Linked DNA regions of Tamandua tetradactyla. The protein of the gene in region 2 purifies or fractionates together with the protein of the main gene of each other region. This does not show direct contact. Links are inferred from orthologs where the notes say so. Each region holds a gene or a part of one and is shown on either strand. Other genes may lie near its edges.

What was found. Proteins that work in one complex are often made in the same cells at the same time.
Region 1: the proteins of RNF185 (region 2) and SRPRB purify together in Homo sapiens (affinity purification with mass spectrometry; 3 studies listed by BioGRID and IntAct, with this or other methods). This does not show direct contact. The link is inferred for Tamandua tetradactyla from reciprocal best matches to the Homo sapiens genes RNF185 and SRPRB.

The regions. Positions count from the first base shown.
Region 1 is NC_135341.1:77,559,444-77,567,131, forward strand, and holds the start of SRPRB (signal recognition particle receptor subunit beta), read left to right. Parts: upstream 1-4,213; 5' UTR 4,214-4,269; coding exon 4,270-4,423; intron 4,424-5,066; coding exon 5,067-5,161; intron 5,162-6,039; coding exon 6,040-6,117; intron 6,118-7,688. UniProt on the Homo sapiens protein: Component of the signal recognition particle (SRP) complex receptor (SR). Ensures, in conjunction with the SRP complex, the correct targeting of the nascent secretory proteins to the endoplasmic reticulum membrane system.
Region 2 is NC_135331.1:31,604,455-31,612,588, forward strand, and holds the start of RNF185 (E3 ubiquitin-protein ligase RNF185), read right to left. Parts: upstream 3,187-8,134; 5' UTR 3,035-3,186; intron 3,029-3,034; exon of another isoform or gene 2,903-3,028; intron 1-2,902. UniProt on the Homo sapiens protein: E3 ubiquitin-protein ligase that regulates selective mitochondrial autophagy by mediating 'Lys-63'-linked polyubiquitination of BNIP1.

The DNA of each region.
Region 1 (7,688 bases), on a different chromosome or scaffold from region 2:
TCTCCAAAGTGTCTCCTCTTTTATAGGATTCCAGTAAACTAATTAAGACCCATGTAGAATGGGTGGAGACATGCCTCCATCTAATCAAATTTAATACCCACAATTGATTCAGTTCACATCTCCATGGAAATAACCTAATCAAGTTTCCAACCTACAGTACTGAATAGGGATTAGAAGAAACTGTTGCGCTCACAAGATTGATTAGGATTTAAACATGGCTTTTCCAGGTACATAAATCCTTTCAAACTGGCACAAGGAGTATAACAGAGAAGATAGGATTTAACAAATGAGTATGACTACTGAATCATTATGTTGACATTTCTGTTGATCTCGTGTCTTGGAGCAGCTAGAAGAAAAAATGAAAAATCATGGAACTGTAACCCATACCAAACTTTAAAATCTGTTCTATAACTGCTTATTATAATGTACTTCGAAAATTTCTTTTTTTGTATATATATATTTCACAATAAAAGAAGTTAAAGAAATGTTTTTGCTGAATGTGACACTTTTCTCACAGAAGAAAAGGAAAAAATTGTCTGAATACTTGTGTTTCATTGTAACTCTCAATCTGCTATTTGAACCAATGAACAGAACACTTTTCAGCAAGCAACAGTCAGTATCTGCATGTCCTTTTTCTATATTTGTCCTCACAGAGATACCGGAAGCCTGTGCTGTCTGCGAGGTGGTAATGCATGAAGACAGGAAGCAGCAGGTCCTATCCTCTGGCTGCTCTCATTCCTGAGATGGTACAGCTGCCTTCTCACTTGAGTGTGGAAGCTGTGCACATTTCTTCTGCCTTTGTAATTCCCAGAAAATAGACTGAAAAAAAAAGATACGACTGTTTTCTTAAACCCTATTTACTCCTTCCCAAACTTCACCACCATGCCAGAACTTTGTCATTCACATACCACTGACTTAATCCCTATACTGTTAAGATAGTTATGGTCAGAGTTCTCCATATGTGGACTTTCCTCCGCCCCTGCATTTTGGTTACTAATAGCAGGTCTAATGGTAGAATCCAAGCTGTAGTTTTTCTCAAGAGGCATCAATGATTATCTTAAAGAAGCAATGTGTGTGTGTGTGCATGTGTGTGCGTGCGTGTGCGTGTGTGCGCGCATGTGTGTGTGTGCGCGCGCGTGTGTGTTGGGTGATGAATGCAGAGCAGGGGTCAGGACCACAAGAAAAAACAAACAGAATGTGGTGCAAGTACTGACAGTTCTGATATTTTTAACTGATAATGCTAATAAAAATAAAGCATAATCGGCTTACTTAAACCTCACTTTCTAAATGCCTTTCATCAATTTGGAGTCACTATTGCTTACCTTTACCAATCACATGCTTTGAAGCTGATTCATACTTATGTTAGAGTATATGGTTAAGCATACAGAGCTGGAGGGCTTGGTATCAAACCCAGTCAGCCCCTTACTATGTAAGCCCAAGCAAGATACTTAACGTCTGCCTCAATTTCCCCATCTATAAGATTGGGATAATAGGTTGTTGTGAGGACATGCTGGTTTGTTCTAAGGCTGTGAAATTGTCGAAATTAAAACAAGTCTATAGAAATGTCCAATCTAAGGCATCCAGGGAAAGATAACTTGGTTCAAGGCCAATGACATTATCATTTCTCTCACAGCTGGAAGGGAACATAGTGAACATGGCGGCATTGACCAGTTTTCTCTCCAGTCTTCTTGCTTCATGAAGTTCCCAGAGAGGCATTTTCCTTCTTCATCTCCAAAGGTCACTGGCTGGCGGACTCTGGTTCTCTTGTCATTCTTTTCTTCTCTAGAAGAACCATGTTTTAATTCTAATTCCGTTTTATAAATCCAGCCATTTCTTCTAATCCCTATTCAGTACTGCACGTTGATCTGTAATTAGATCATCTCCCTGGAGATATGACTCAATCAAGAGTGGTTGTTAAACTGGATAGATGGAGATGTGTCTCCACCCATTTGGGTGGGTCTTGATTAGTTTACTGGAACCCTATAAAAGAGGAAACATTTTGGAGAAAGCTGAAGATTCTGAGAGAGCAGAACGACATAGCCACGGGAAGCAGAGAGTCCACCAGCCAGCAACCTTTGGAGATGAAGAAGCAAAATTCCTCCCGGGAAGCTTCATGAAACAGGAAGCCAGGAGAGAAAGCTAGCAGATGACGCTGTGTTCGCCACATGCCTTTCCAGCTGAGAGAGAAACCCTGACATTCACCATGTGTCTTCTCACTTGAGAGAGAAACCCTGAACTTCAATGGCCTTCTTGAACCAAGGTGTCTTACCCTGGATGCCTTAGACTGGACATTTGTATAGACTTGTTTTAATTGGGACATTTTCTCGGCCTTAGAACTATAAACTAGCAACTTACTAAATTCCCCTTTTTAAAAGACATTTTGTTTCTGGTATATTGCATTCCAGCAGCTAGCAAAGTAGAACAGAGGATTAAACTCATCAATACATTAAAGACATTTAGAACAGTGCCTGGCACTAGCAAGAACCCATTAATGTTAGCAATGATCCTCATTTTCCACTCTCCTTCTCATCCACCCCCCACTCTGGCTTTTGCACCCATCTCTCCTCTTCTTTCTGCCCCCTTTTCTCATTCAAGTCCATATAACAGGAACTTCTCTGCTGTAAGAGATGCTACTGACCACTTTCAGGCCCAGCCACAACCATTTTAGTCCTGTGGCACTAATGATTTTTTCTTAGGCGATTTTATGGCTTCCTCTTCCCATTTCCTTCTCAGTCTTCATGCTCTGCATGATTTTAATGCCCTCTTATTTATCCATGACTCCACAGTGAAAATCTAACACTCAGTGCCGGAACCTGACATTGGTCTATAGTATTATCTTCCGGGCATAAGTTTTCAGATTTCTCTGAAACTCAACATATACAAAAGAGATGCAATTTCATTCTGACTACATTCCCTACCCCAAACTCCAAACTCAGTGAGTTTCCTAATTCACTTGATGACAATAAGACATTTTCAGTCACCCATACCAACCTCTTAAGATGCAGACTTGATAGCTCTCCTCCTTAACTTCCTATACCCAACTTATCACCACATTTTGTATATATTATTTTTTAAACATCTCTCAAATCTGTGCCCTGCTTTCCATACCTACCTCTGTCCTTGGTCAGACCACCAGCACCTTTTGCCTAAACTCTGCAACATCCTCCAGCTGGTCACCTGCAGTGTTTTCTCTCTCAAGTCACAGCTCTCCACAGATCCACCAATTACCCGTGTCACCACTAATTAAAAATTCTTATTGCACTCTGAAAAAGCCTAAGTTGCTCAGCATAGCATACAAAGTCCCTTCGGGTCTGGCTTCAGCCTATCTTCCCAGCTTCCCAGACTGCCACTTCCCACCATCTCTTTAATGACAGATAGAAAACTGGCAGCCTCCAAGGGGGCCACTTCTGGCCCACAGAGGTGTTTTGTTTGGACCACAATTTTTCTAATGTTTTGATCACTTGCCCAAATTTTAAAAATAGAAAATTCCTCGTAAAAACCCACCTTTCTGGCTCTTGGAAGTACTGGCCACTCTGGTCCTACAAATCTGACTGCATGAATCGTGGGTGTTCTCTTTAGACAGAGATTGACCACTGCAGCATTCAACAGTGCCTGCTCCTCATTGGTAGAGCTTCTTGGCTGCTTCCCTTGATGTAGACATTTGAGTTTCAGCCTTTGCTTTACAGTCAGAGAATATGGAATTGCTTCTTGTACTCATATTTCTCTTACTGCCTGCAGAAGCTTGTCCCTCAGGACTTCCTTCTAGCCACTTTCCTGTAGGAGCTTTGCCCTGTACCCATGACGGATTCGGCGCCCTTTTCTGTATTTCCATGTCACACTGTTCAAACTTCTGTCATATCCCTTGCTATATTATATTCAGATTAAAAGTTTGAATGACGCTTGAGTTCCTCATAAGGCTCACCTCACCCAGGAAGTGAGAGGAAATTCTTTGTGGAGATTTCTTGAGCCATTCATTTCATTCATTCCAACATTCTCTCAACAATCATGAAGAAGGAGGTGACGCTAGATCCAGATCTTAAAGGTTGTGTGCCACTCCTCAAATATCTATTACAGCCCCCCACCCCCATCCCCCGTTCAGGAAGAGTTCGGCGTCCCGGAGAGCGACTAATCCCTGTGGGCCGGGGCTCCCCGCACCCGGGCCACGAAACCAGCTTGGGAACTACTACTCCCGTGATGCTCTGCTCCCGCGCCTGCGCAGAGAGCAGGGCCACGTCGCTTTCTGGGCGACGGGGACCACGCGACTCGACTATGGCTTCCGTGGAGTCCCAGCGTTTGACGGACGGCGGCGGTGCCGGGAATGGCTTCCAGCCCTACCTAGATTCCTTGCGTGAAGTACTTCAGCAGCGGGATCCGACGCTGCTGTCCGCTGTGGTGGCGTTTGTCGCAGTGCTGCTGACGCTAGGTAAGAAGCCGGCCGGCCGTGCTGGCGGGTGCGGGGCGGGCCGTGGTCCAGGCTTTTCGGCCGCGCTCCTGCACGGGGCCGAGGGGCGCTTTGGGGGCGTCTAGAGAGGGGCATTAACCCCTTCTATCACTGAAGCAATAGGAGCAGTACTTCCCTGAAGGGTGGCCCCCGGCGACTCCCGGAGAGCGGTTCTGCCCGGCACGGGTAATTCTTAGTTCGTGGGTCACCCGCTGTGCCCGAGCGCGGTTAATTTTGGAAGCCCCGACCAGTCTTTGAAGGGCTGTGTCCACCTTCCGCTTTTCTTACTGTTAAAACTCAGAGGGTCTTTACACGGCTTCTGAGCTCGCTGTGTTTGTGAGCTGGGCGCTGCCGATAACTGAAGATGGTTAAGACCAGATTGCGTCAGAGGAGTCCACAGTGGGGGCCGGTGGTGCAGACACTGCAAAGTTGACGGTCGTAGCTGGCACCAAGTGGGTCCCTGCCGACCACAGAAACGGTTGTAATAGTGGTAATAACAGTAAACGTAAGTTCCAGTGGAATGAGGTGTTTTGTGGGAGACTTCTGTTAATTCCTCCACCCGAGCCATACGTGCAGACTGTTGATAATCAAGGCGTAATTTTGGTTATTTTTCTTTGTTTTTCAGTGTTCTGGAAGCTCATCCGGAGCAGAAGGAGCAGTCAGAGGGCCGTCCTTTTCGTTGGCCTTTGTGACTCAGGGAAGACGTTGCTTTTTGTTAGGGTAAATGCTTTTGATTTACACCTCTGGTAAACTTAATAGGAAAATTTAGGGTGTCCCAGTGTTCCTGTGAACTCATGGTTTTTATGGGAGAACAAAAAGATTCTTGGACAACCCATAAACTGGGATTTTTTTTTTACTATTTCTATTTTCTAGCACTTGCCAGATGCTAACATTTAGTCTTTATCACTTTGAAGGGTTTTAGGTAACTGATTTCATCCTGTGGTTAAGAACAGCTGAAGAAATGAAAGCCTGTATTTTTGTATAACAAACCCTTCTGGGAAGCTTGTCCGAACAAAAATTTGAGGGTAATTTTTCTTTGACATATCTGACTAGTCAGGCTTCTTTTATTAATACTTATTTTTAGCATGTTTGGTATTTTTAATTCTCTGTGTGTTTCTTTGGAGAATACAAGAGGTTTTTATTTTTCCTTTTTGTTCTCTTTGAGAGTATAAATTATTTCCTTTCCACAAAAGAAATCTAATCTCTAATCATCTTTGATAGTTAAAAGTGTCTATATAAGGGTGGTGTGATAGTTGCACAGTGGCAGAATTCTGTCCTGCCATGCTGGAGACCCGGGTTTGATTCCTGGTGCCTGCCCAAGCAAAAAAATAAATAAATAAATAAACGTGTCTATGTGAGGTCAGCAAATTTGGCTACTAACCTTAGTTGGAAAATATGATTTTTTCTCCCATTGGGGAGTGGAGAATGAAGTTTACAATTAATTTGATTGTTCTATAGGTAAAAAGAGTCCACATGATCTTTTTCAGGTATTGCAAGCAACATTTATTTGACCTTATACCTGGGAGAGTTAGAACATTACTCTTTTTAGTTTTACTGTAATATGTTTACTCTGATCTCTCCCATCTTGTTTCTTACAGTTGTTATCAGGTCTTTACAGAGACACTCAGACTTCCATCACTGATAGTTCTGCTGTATACAGAGTCAACAATAACAGGGTAAGGTGTTGGAATCTGACAGTGTTAAAATACTGTGCTGTGTCGGGAAAGTTCATTTCCAGGATGGATTATTCTGAGGTTATAAGTACCATTTGTAGCTTATTTTTATGGAGAAATGTATTCCATTTGACAAATTTCACACTTGATCATCTGTGCAGCAGATTTAATAATGCCCTTCTCTCCTTTTTATACCTTATTCATACTGATGTTACAGCACCTTTTTTTGTTTGTTTTTGTGTCTTCTTTCCATCTTTGCTTTGATTTCTAAAGGGTGGTCAATTAGCCTTTTCCTTTTCATTTACTTTTTAAATATACTTATTTAAGTATATATATGGAACACAAATTCAAAAGATTAAAAAAAGAGTATTGGTGAAAAAGTTGTTTTACCTGATCTATTACCTACCTAGTTTCCTTTCTTAGAGGCAGGAACTTAACCATTTTCGTTCGTAATCTTCCAAATGTTCCATGCAAATATTTCTGTATATATATATATATTTTTTTTTTCTTTTTTAACACACTTTTGCCTTCATTTAACTCTGTTTATTTAACAACATAGCTGATTTAGCTTGGGTTTTTTTTTTTACACCCACATTAGTACACATAATACTGCCTGGTTCATTAATGACCTGCATGGTGTTCCACTGTATGGCTGTACCATACGACTAAATCCTTATTTAAGCAGACGCCTATTCATAGACATTTGGTTTCGTTTGTTATAATCTTTTGCTTTTACAAACAGTGCTATAAAGGTGATTTTAAAGAGTATATGTATTTCAAAAGTACCAATAAAAAAATCACAGAAAAGCCTTTTTATGTGCCTGTTTAGGTCCAGAATGTAGACAGGGCCTGCTAAACAAGTAATAATAATGCTTGATAAATATTTGGCGTGTGTGATGGATTGATGATGGCTGGTTGGAGGAGTGGGTGGGTAGATGGATGAATTAGAATGGTCGTCTCAGAGACCTTTTTATCTTCTCCTTGGGTTTTGCCCTTCTGCTTTCTAAAGGGACATCCTCTTAAGTATCTTAGAGAAGATTTTGCCTTTTTCATTGATGGCACCCTTTCTAGCCCAGTAATTTTTAAACTTCCAAGAATTCTGATTTTGAAATTTCAGGTTTGGGAGATCATTAATTTTGGGGGTATATACTAGATTTTTTTTAAGTGGGATATTCCAGGATAAGCTTTAGACCTGTGCTTTCTAATACAGTAGCCACTGGTCACGTGTGGCTGTTGTGCACCTGAAATGTGCTCTTATGTTTCAGATCTAGTCTTTCTTTTTAGGATAGTAATAGGTCTTCTAGATTGCCTAGATGTGTGGTGTGCTGTACTAGTGAAATGGAGCAATGGGTCCCGAACTGGGCTCCCTAGACCCTTACGTTATTTTGAAAAGAAAGAAAAGCCTAATAGACATTATGTATTTACTCATAAAGGTACTGTACAGATAAACAGAAGGGCCATAATGAATCCAGCTAGAATTGTGTCAGATCTGTGCATAATGCTGACCCCTTCCTTGTGACCAGTGGTTAGGGTAAGCTGTGGATATGTGAAACATCTGAAAAATGATCAGTGAA
Region 2 (8,134 bases):
AGACAAAAAAAAAAAAAAAAAAAAAAAAAAAAAAAGGTGACTCAGGAACTGCTTCAAGTTGGAAAAGACTAGGCAGATGTGACAACTAAATGCAATGTAGGATCCTGAATTGGGTCCTGGACAAGAAAAAGGGCATTAGCGAAACAAAAGGCAAAATCTGAATGAGGTCTATAGATTAGTTGGTAGCACTGCACCAGTGTTTATTTACTTGTTTAGATAATTTTAATATGGTTACATAAGATGTTAACATTAGGGGAAGATAGCTGGAGGGTATTCAGGAACTTTGAGTATTATTTTTGTGACATTTTTAAGTCAAAAATTATTTCAAAACAAAAAGTTAAAAATTATAATAATGCATGTCAGATGTCAGCAATTTTCTTTTTTTGTAAAGGGTCATATAATAATAAATACTTCAGGCTTTGTGTGCCATATGCTCTCTCAGGCATATACTCACCTCTGCAGCTGTAGCATTGAAGTAGCCAAAGATAACATGTAAATGAATGGGTGTGACTGAGTTCCAATAAAACTTTATTATGGATACTAATATCTGAGTTTTCCATAATTTTTCACAATCATGAAACTGTCTTCTTTTGATTTATTATCAACCATTTAAAAATGTAAAAACCATTCTTACCTCATGGGCCATACATAAATAGACAATATGGCCAGATTTGGTCCTTAAGGCAATAGTTTGCAGACCCCTGCGCTTTAGGTCAGAATATACCAATGTGTGCCTCATAAAAAAAAAGTTTCATATCAAATAAGCTTGACAAAGCTACATTAAACAAAATTATTGTAGGACTTCCCAGCGCTTTTAACGTGGTACTATACACTGAGAACCTCCAAGAAGGGATAATAGTAAAAAATTTTTCCCAAACTTATTTTTACCACAGAACCATTTTTTTCAGAGGCATCTCTTCAGACCACTGGTCTGAAGAACACACTTAAGAAAAGCCAATTTAGGTACTTCTTCAAAGGGGAACTTTCAAACTGAGACGTTTCAAAAATACTTATCTCCCCACCACCAAATTAAAATCACTGTACCCAGCACCTAGATAATATCTGAACAAATATTTCACAATTTTTTTAAGTCCTAGGAAACATAAACAAGCAAGTAGATAAACACAGGCAGGAAGTCTTGGCTCAATCCCAACCTTTTTTTTGGCAGGTCAGCAGAATAGGGTCATAACATGGAATCTCTGCCCATAGAGCAACTTAAACATTCTACCAGGCTTTTAAGTGATCTACTTGGAAGGAGTTTTGATGTTTGATTAACTAATGAAATACTAGAAACATTATACGTAGATTACATGTAAGTGAGAATGAACCAGCAAGTCAAATCCAGAAAACTGACTTTTTATACTGGATGAAAAGTTAGCAACAAAATGCAAAAATTCTCTCATTTGGCACAATACACCACACACTGCAAAAGAGAGGATTAAAAAGGGATTTATGTCCCAGGAAGGAGAAGTTGGCCTGAACAACCTCAAGAGGCCCTTCCAAGCAAGAGTCCTCAATTCTGTGATCCAAAGAGCTCACTGGCTTTTCCTGATCAAATGCAAAGACTTAAGGGCATTTCTAAGGTGTCCTTAGAAAATAAGCTACTAAACAATGGGGAACACATCCTGCTTTCATTCAGTAAACATTTAAGGAGCCAGGATCAGATGTTGGGCCATTCCAAAGTCCCTGAAAAGAAGAATGGTTCACAGAACAAGGAGGAAAAAATTACTTAAGGTCATAAGACTCTGCTCCCAGGAGATCTGCATGGAGAGTGGGGGTGGGGTTCAAGAAAAGGAGGCAGAAAAAAGAAACAACACATTTACCCTGTGGGCAGAGTCAGTATCAGAAAGAGTCAAAATAACTAGTTAGAATCAGAGACTTTCAAGTTAGAAAGGACTTCAGTCTAATACTGGTAAACTTCTGTCAAGAGAGAATTCTCTTCCTCTTGAGGTAATCCATTCCATTGATGGTCACCTCTGACAGTTCCTCCATTAAATCCTTCTATTAAGTCAAAATCTCATCTTCCAGTAGAATTCACCTATTGGTCCTAGTTCTGTCTCTTTCATCCTCAAAGATGACGTAGGAGCCCTCTTTGCCATAGTAATTCTTCAGTATTTGAACACAGTACCCTTCCAGTACTGTCTTTTCTCAACTAAACATCCCATTCTTTCAAGATTCTGCAGATTCCAGCTGCCTCAAAGCGAAAAATGGATATCAAGTCTTCACAGCAAGAAGTACTTAAGATCGATGGGTTTCAAAAATCAGTACTTGCAGGATGCCCCAGAGTACGTTCAAACTGCAGAATCCCAAGTTTCTATCGAGATTCTAAATCAGAGGCCTGAAATGCGGCCCAGAAATCTATATCTTAAAGCATGTATCCTGGCAGATCTCGAAGCATTTGGTGTACAACCATATTAAGAGAAACACTGTCCCGGGCAGGCCATAGTGGCTCAGCAGGTAAGAGTGCTTGCCTGCCATGTCTGAGGACCCGGGTTCGTTTTCCCGGTGCCTGCCCATGTAAAAAAAAAAATAAAAACAAAAAAAATTTTTAAAAAAAGAAACACTGTCCCACTTTACAAGCGAGGAACTGAGGTCCAGCACAAGGAAGGGATCTGGTCAAAACTGCACAACCAGCTGTGAGCGGCGAGTTCTAGAATTTACGTCTTTGACTCCCAAACAACTCTGTTCAACACGCTTCCCGGCCTCGGATTTTCCACTCGGGACAAACTCGTTAAAAGTCCCTTCACTTGAGGAAAGCAGCCCCGCGCGGGGGCCAAAAAGAAACTTAGGGTAAGGTAAGTCTCTGCCTGGATGGGACAGCCCGCGGGAGCCCCGCTCCTTCTCGGGCCTCAGTTTCCTCAATCTGTAATCATAAGAAGACCACAACGTCAACACGACCTACCTGCTGAGGCGGAGGGCCCGGGGCAAGGCTGGGCTTGCTGTCGCTGGGACCCGCGGCCCTCCGGAAGTCCCAACATAGTCCCTCGATCCCCAACCTCGACGGTCCCTAGCCACTGCCCCGGCTCCCACATACCTGCTTCCTCCGCGCAGATAACGCCACCAAGGACACGCCAGCCGGTGGCCTATTTGCCGTCTGTCCAGTCAGTTGGTCCGGACGGACCTACGATCCTTCCCACGCGAACTCCGGTCACCTGACGCGGACCCGCCCCCCCTTACAGGGACTTCCGGCTCCAACTGGAAAAGGTGGGTCCGACGCACTGACTTCCTGCCTAGGCCCCCGGATCTAAGGTTCCGTCTGCCGGCAGGAAGCGTAGGAATGCAGGGACAATTGAATGTTTCCCACGTAACCTGAAATCGGGGTTCCATGAAGAAGTCGATTGTAGGGTTGGGACGAGGAAAGCCTCATATGAGCCTAAAACATCTGTTGCACAAGAATGTGAGGAAGTGTCCTAGGACACAGGAGCTAACTCAAAAGGATAATCTGGGCATCAAAAGACATAATATTATTGGGTTATAGCCAAGTGAGTAAAGTAGTAATCCATGAGTCTTTACTGACCTAAAGACGTGAGTAAGTAAATGAAAGGGGAAGAAGGGAAAGTTCTTTCTTATAGTAGAATGCCAACTAATAATCATGATAGAATTAGAAAATCAACAGTAGATGGCAAAACTAGAGACATAGGATACTTACAAAATAAAAGGGTCTCCTATAAATTACCAATTAATGACAAAGGGAAAATGAGTAATTTTATAGAGGCAAAAACCTAGTAGAAAAAAATGATCAAAGTAATCACAGTTGACATAATCAGGAAAGGGTCAGGTGGATATCATGTGTCTCCTAATAAGACACACTGAAAAGGACACAGCATCTCTTCTCTGATAATTCTGCTGAAAATGCATAGTCCCAACCTCAGGAGGAAGCCTCTGACAAACCCAAATCAAGAGGCATTCTACAAAATAACTGACCTATACTCTTCAAAAATGTCAGGGGCATGAAAGACAGAGAAAAACTAAGGAAATTTTGCAGTCAAAAGGTTACTAAAGAGACATGACAACTAAATGTGATGTGCAGTGCTAAACTGAATCCTAGGTTAGAAGGGAAAAATAGTTGTAATGGATAATACTGGCACAGGTGATGACATTTGAATAAGGGTTGCAGAATAACTACTAATATGTATGGTATCAATGTTAAATTTTCTGAGTTTTTATCATTGTACTGTGTTATATTAAGAAAACATCCTGGTTCTTTGGAAATATTCACTGAAATATTTAGGAAGTAAGGGGTACAATGTCACCAACTTTTAAAAATTCAGAAAAGTGTTGTGGGTATATTTATATGGATATGTAGAATGGTTAAGCAAATAAAGCAAAATGTAAACAATTTTAAAGAAAATCTAGTTAAAGCATATTTTGGGGTTTCTTGTATAAATTTTGTGACTTTTCTGTGAAAAAAGAAATAAAAAGAAAAACTTGCCAAGAAATGGGAAGTGTGGAATTGCCTGGGTCCTAGCTCATTCATATATTTATCTATCAAACATTAATTGCTTTCCACATGCCAACTCCTGTACCCGGGACTGGTTATACAGCAAGAGACAAGATCTTTGCTTGCAAATCTAGTGGGAAATATATTACACATGTAATCACTCAACTAATTGGCTACTTAAAATAATCATAGCTAACATTTAGTGAGCCTTTTTCAGCACAGTACACAGAATGTTTCATTTGATCATCACAGGAAGCAGCCTTATGAGTGCATTTGGTGCTTACCCCATTTTACAAATGGGTTAAGGTTTAAAAGTTTGCACGATTTTATCATTCTATAAAAAGTTAAGTTTTCATGTCACATACCGATAGGTGGTAGAGCTGGGATTTCAACCCAGGCGGTTGTTCTCTTGAATTCTTGATACCCATCTATGCTAGTTTGAAAGAATGTATGGACCCCTAGAAAAGCCATATTTTAATCAAAATCTCATTTCGTAAAATGGCAGAATAATCCCTATTCAATACTGTATGTCTGAATCTGTAGATAGATCATCTTCCTGGAGATGTCTCCCAATTAAGAGCGGTTGTTAAACTGGATTAGGGGAGCCGTGTCTCCACCCATTTGGGTGGGTCTTGATTGGTTTACTAGAGTCCTATAAAAAAGGAAACATTTTGGAGAATGAGAGTTTCAAAGAGGGAAGAGAACGCTGCAGCACCACAAAGCAGAGAGTCCATCAGCCAGCGCTTTGGAGATGAAGAAGGAAAACGCCTTCCGGGGAGCTTCATGAAACAGGAAGCCAAGAGAAGAAGCTAGCAGATGACGCCGTGTTTGCCATGTGCCCTTCCAGATGTGAGAGGAACCCTGACTGGGTTCGCCATGTGCTCTTCCACTTGAGAGAGAAACTCTGAACCTCATCAGCCTTCTTGAACCAAGGTGTCTTTCCCTGGATGCCTTTGATTGGCCATTTCTATAGACTTGTTCTAACTGGGACATTTTCTTGGCCTTAGAACTGTAAACTAGCAACTTATTAAATTCCTCCTTTTTAAAACCATTCTGTTTCTGGTATATTGCATTCTGGCAGCTAGCAAACTAGAACACCATCTTCGTCATGTTATTCCTTCAGTAAACATTTATTAAGCGTATACAATGATCCCAGACACTATAAGAGATTGGGCCTGACTTGGGGTGAAGCTAATAGATGAAATTAACTGAGAGATGAATCTGCTTAGCTCCCAGAGGCTGGTGTTCTGAGTTTCCTCAATTATCAGCCTTCTCTGTGGTTCCTATGAACAAGGGGTAGCACAGGGAATGTTTCCAGTTAGGAAAATCTGGATTGGAGTCCAGCCTCTCAGAGAGAAAAGTAGCTCCTGACACTAGGAATCTGCCTGGCACCCAAGCCTTGAGTTACTGTGAACTGGCACTCACAGATTGCCTGCGTTGTTGTTCTGTTAAACACAGACAATTTCATAGACCATCAATATCAGAAAAGGCCACTCTGTGGATCAGGCTTGAAAGATGACAATACCACAGTCATGTCTGAACTCAGACAAAACACGAGCATTGTCCAAACCACGAAAAGAATCGAACATTTCCCTCTCCTGGTTCATATGGAAATTGTTATGTCTCTACCAATTACAGCTTTAGCTTCAGCCTAGTTTTCCCTCTTTCTAGATAAGATTTATTAAGATACCTGCTCATCAGTGTGGACCGCCAAGGCTGTAGGCTGAGCCCCCAGTTTTGGGGTTTGTTCATGTGAAACTTAACCCCACAAAGGACAGGTCAAGTCTACTTAAAATTTAGGCCTAAGATTCACCCCCAAGAGAGCCTCTTTTGTTGCTCAGATGTGGCCTCTCTCTCCAGCCAGCACATCGAGCAGTCTCACCACCCGCCTCCTGTCTATGTGGGACATGACTCCCAGGGGTGTGGACCTTCCTGGCAACGTGGGACAGAAATCCTGAAATGAGCTTAGACTCAGCATCAAGGAATTGAGAAAACCTTCTGGACCAAAAGGGGGAAGAGTGAAATGAGACCAAGTTTCAATGGCTGAGAGATTCCAAACAGAGTTGAGAGGTTATCCTGGAGGTTATTCTTACACATTAAGTAGATATCACCTTGTTATTCAAGATGTAGTGGAGAGGCTGGAGGGAACTGCCTGAGAATGTAGAGCTGTGTTCCAGTAGCCATGTTTCTTGAGGATGATTGAATAATGATATAGCTTTCACAATGTGACTGTGTGATTGTGAAAACCTTGTCTGATGCTCCTTTTATCTACCGTGTCAACAGACAAGTAGAACATATGGAATAAAAATAAGGAATGGGGAAACAAATGTTAAAATAAATTTAGTTTGAAATGCTAGTGATCAATGAAAGTGAGGGGTAAGGGGTATAGTATGTATAATCTTTTTTTTTTCTGTTATTGTTTTATTTCTTTTTCAGTTGTCTTTTTATTTCTTTTTCTGAATTGATGCAAGTGTTCTAAGAAATGATGAATATGCAACTATGTGATGATATTGAGAATTACTGATTATATATGTAGAACGGAATGATATGTTAATGTTTTTGTTTGTTCTTAATTTTTTAAATTAATGAATAAATTAAATAAAAAAAGATACCCACTCATGGCATCCAATCCAGAGCAATGCCCCACTTCCACAAATCCTCTTCAAGACCACTTATGAGTCCTTTCTAACATTCTATTACTGAGACGTCCCGTTGTTTCCCATGGGTTGCATTTCCCCTTCACTGCAAGGAATAACAAAGCCAACTTGTTCAACCACAGTTGCGTTTCTGGTGGTCTTTGGCTAGAGGTCATCGATCTCTCGCTAGATACATGACTTACAGACGCCTCCGTTTTCTCATCTATTAAATGGGAAGATTTCTTCTGATCTCAAAAGATTATTGTAAGAATACCTGGAACAGATTTAGACCAGAGTGAGCGCTCCAGATATTTTTTAAAAAATTCATGTTTGAGCTACTACTTTCTTTGAAGAAGTCACCGAGGACTTTCATTGTGAAAAGACAGCAATCGTCTTCAATTAAAATAAACTTGCTGATCATATTCCCCATTGTTCTTTCTATTGGGCTCATAAGGCACGCTAAAGAAAGACTGCCACTTGTCCTTTCTCACAAATACGGTCACTCTCATGGTCTCTTCTGGAAAGCAATCGTCCGTTCCTAAAACTTTAGTCTTAGAGAATCAGCACTGTTTATTTCTTCATATTCTTGCTATTAAAAGTTCCCCAGAAATAATGGAATTGGAACTAACGGACTTGGAAGAAGTACTTCAGCTTCAAAAATATATCCAGGAATAGCTTCCCTGCTTTAATACACGAATACTCCATAGATCCTGAAAGCCTTGTGGGCGGTGTTTGAATTTATCCTGGTAGCATGAGTTTAATATTATGTGATGCCTACAACAAATTATGCTGAATAAAAGATATTCATTCCAGTGAGAAAAATAAAATAAATAAAAGCGGTCTTATTTCTCCTTCTCCTTGGTCTGAGTATCGCAAGGATTCTCAGTTTAATAGCCCTAAACTTTCACCTTCCCCCTGCCCACTCCACCTCCTTCCCCTTACTCCAATAAAAATAAAAATAAAAATAATAATAATAAAAGAAGCTAGTATTTATTGAATGTTTATAATGTGCCATACACTGTGCTAAGGACTTTATGTGATTGTTATTGTCTGCATT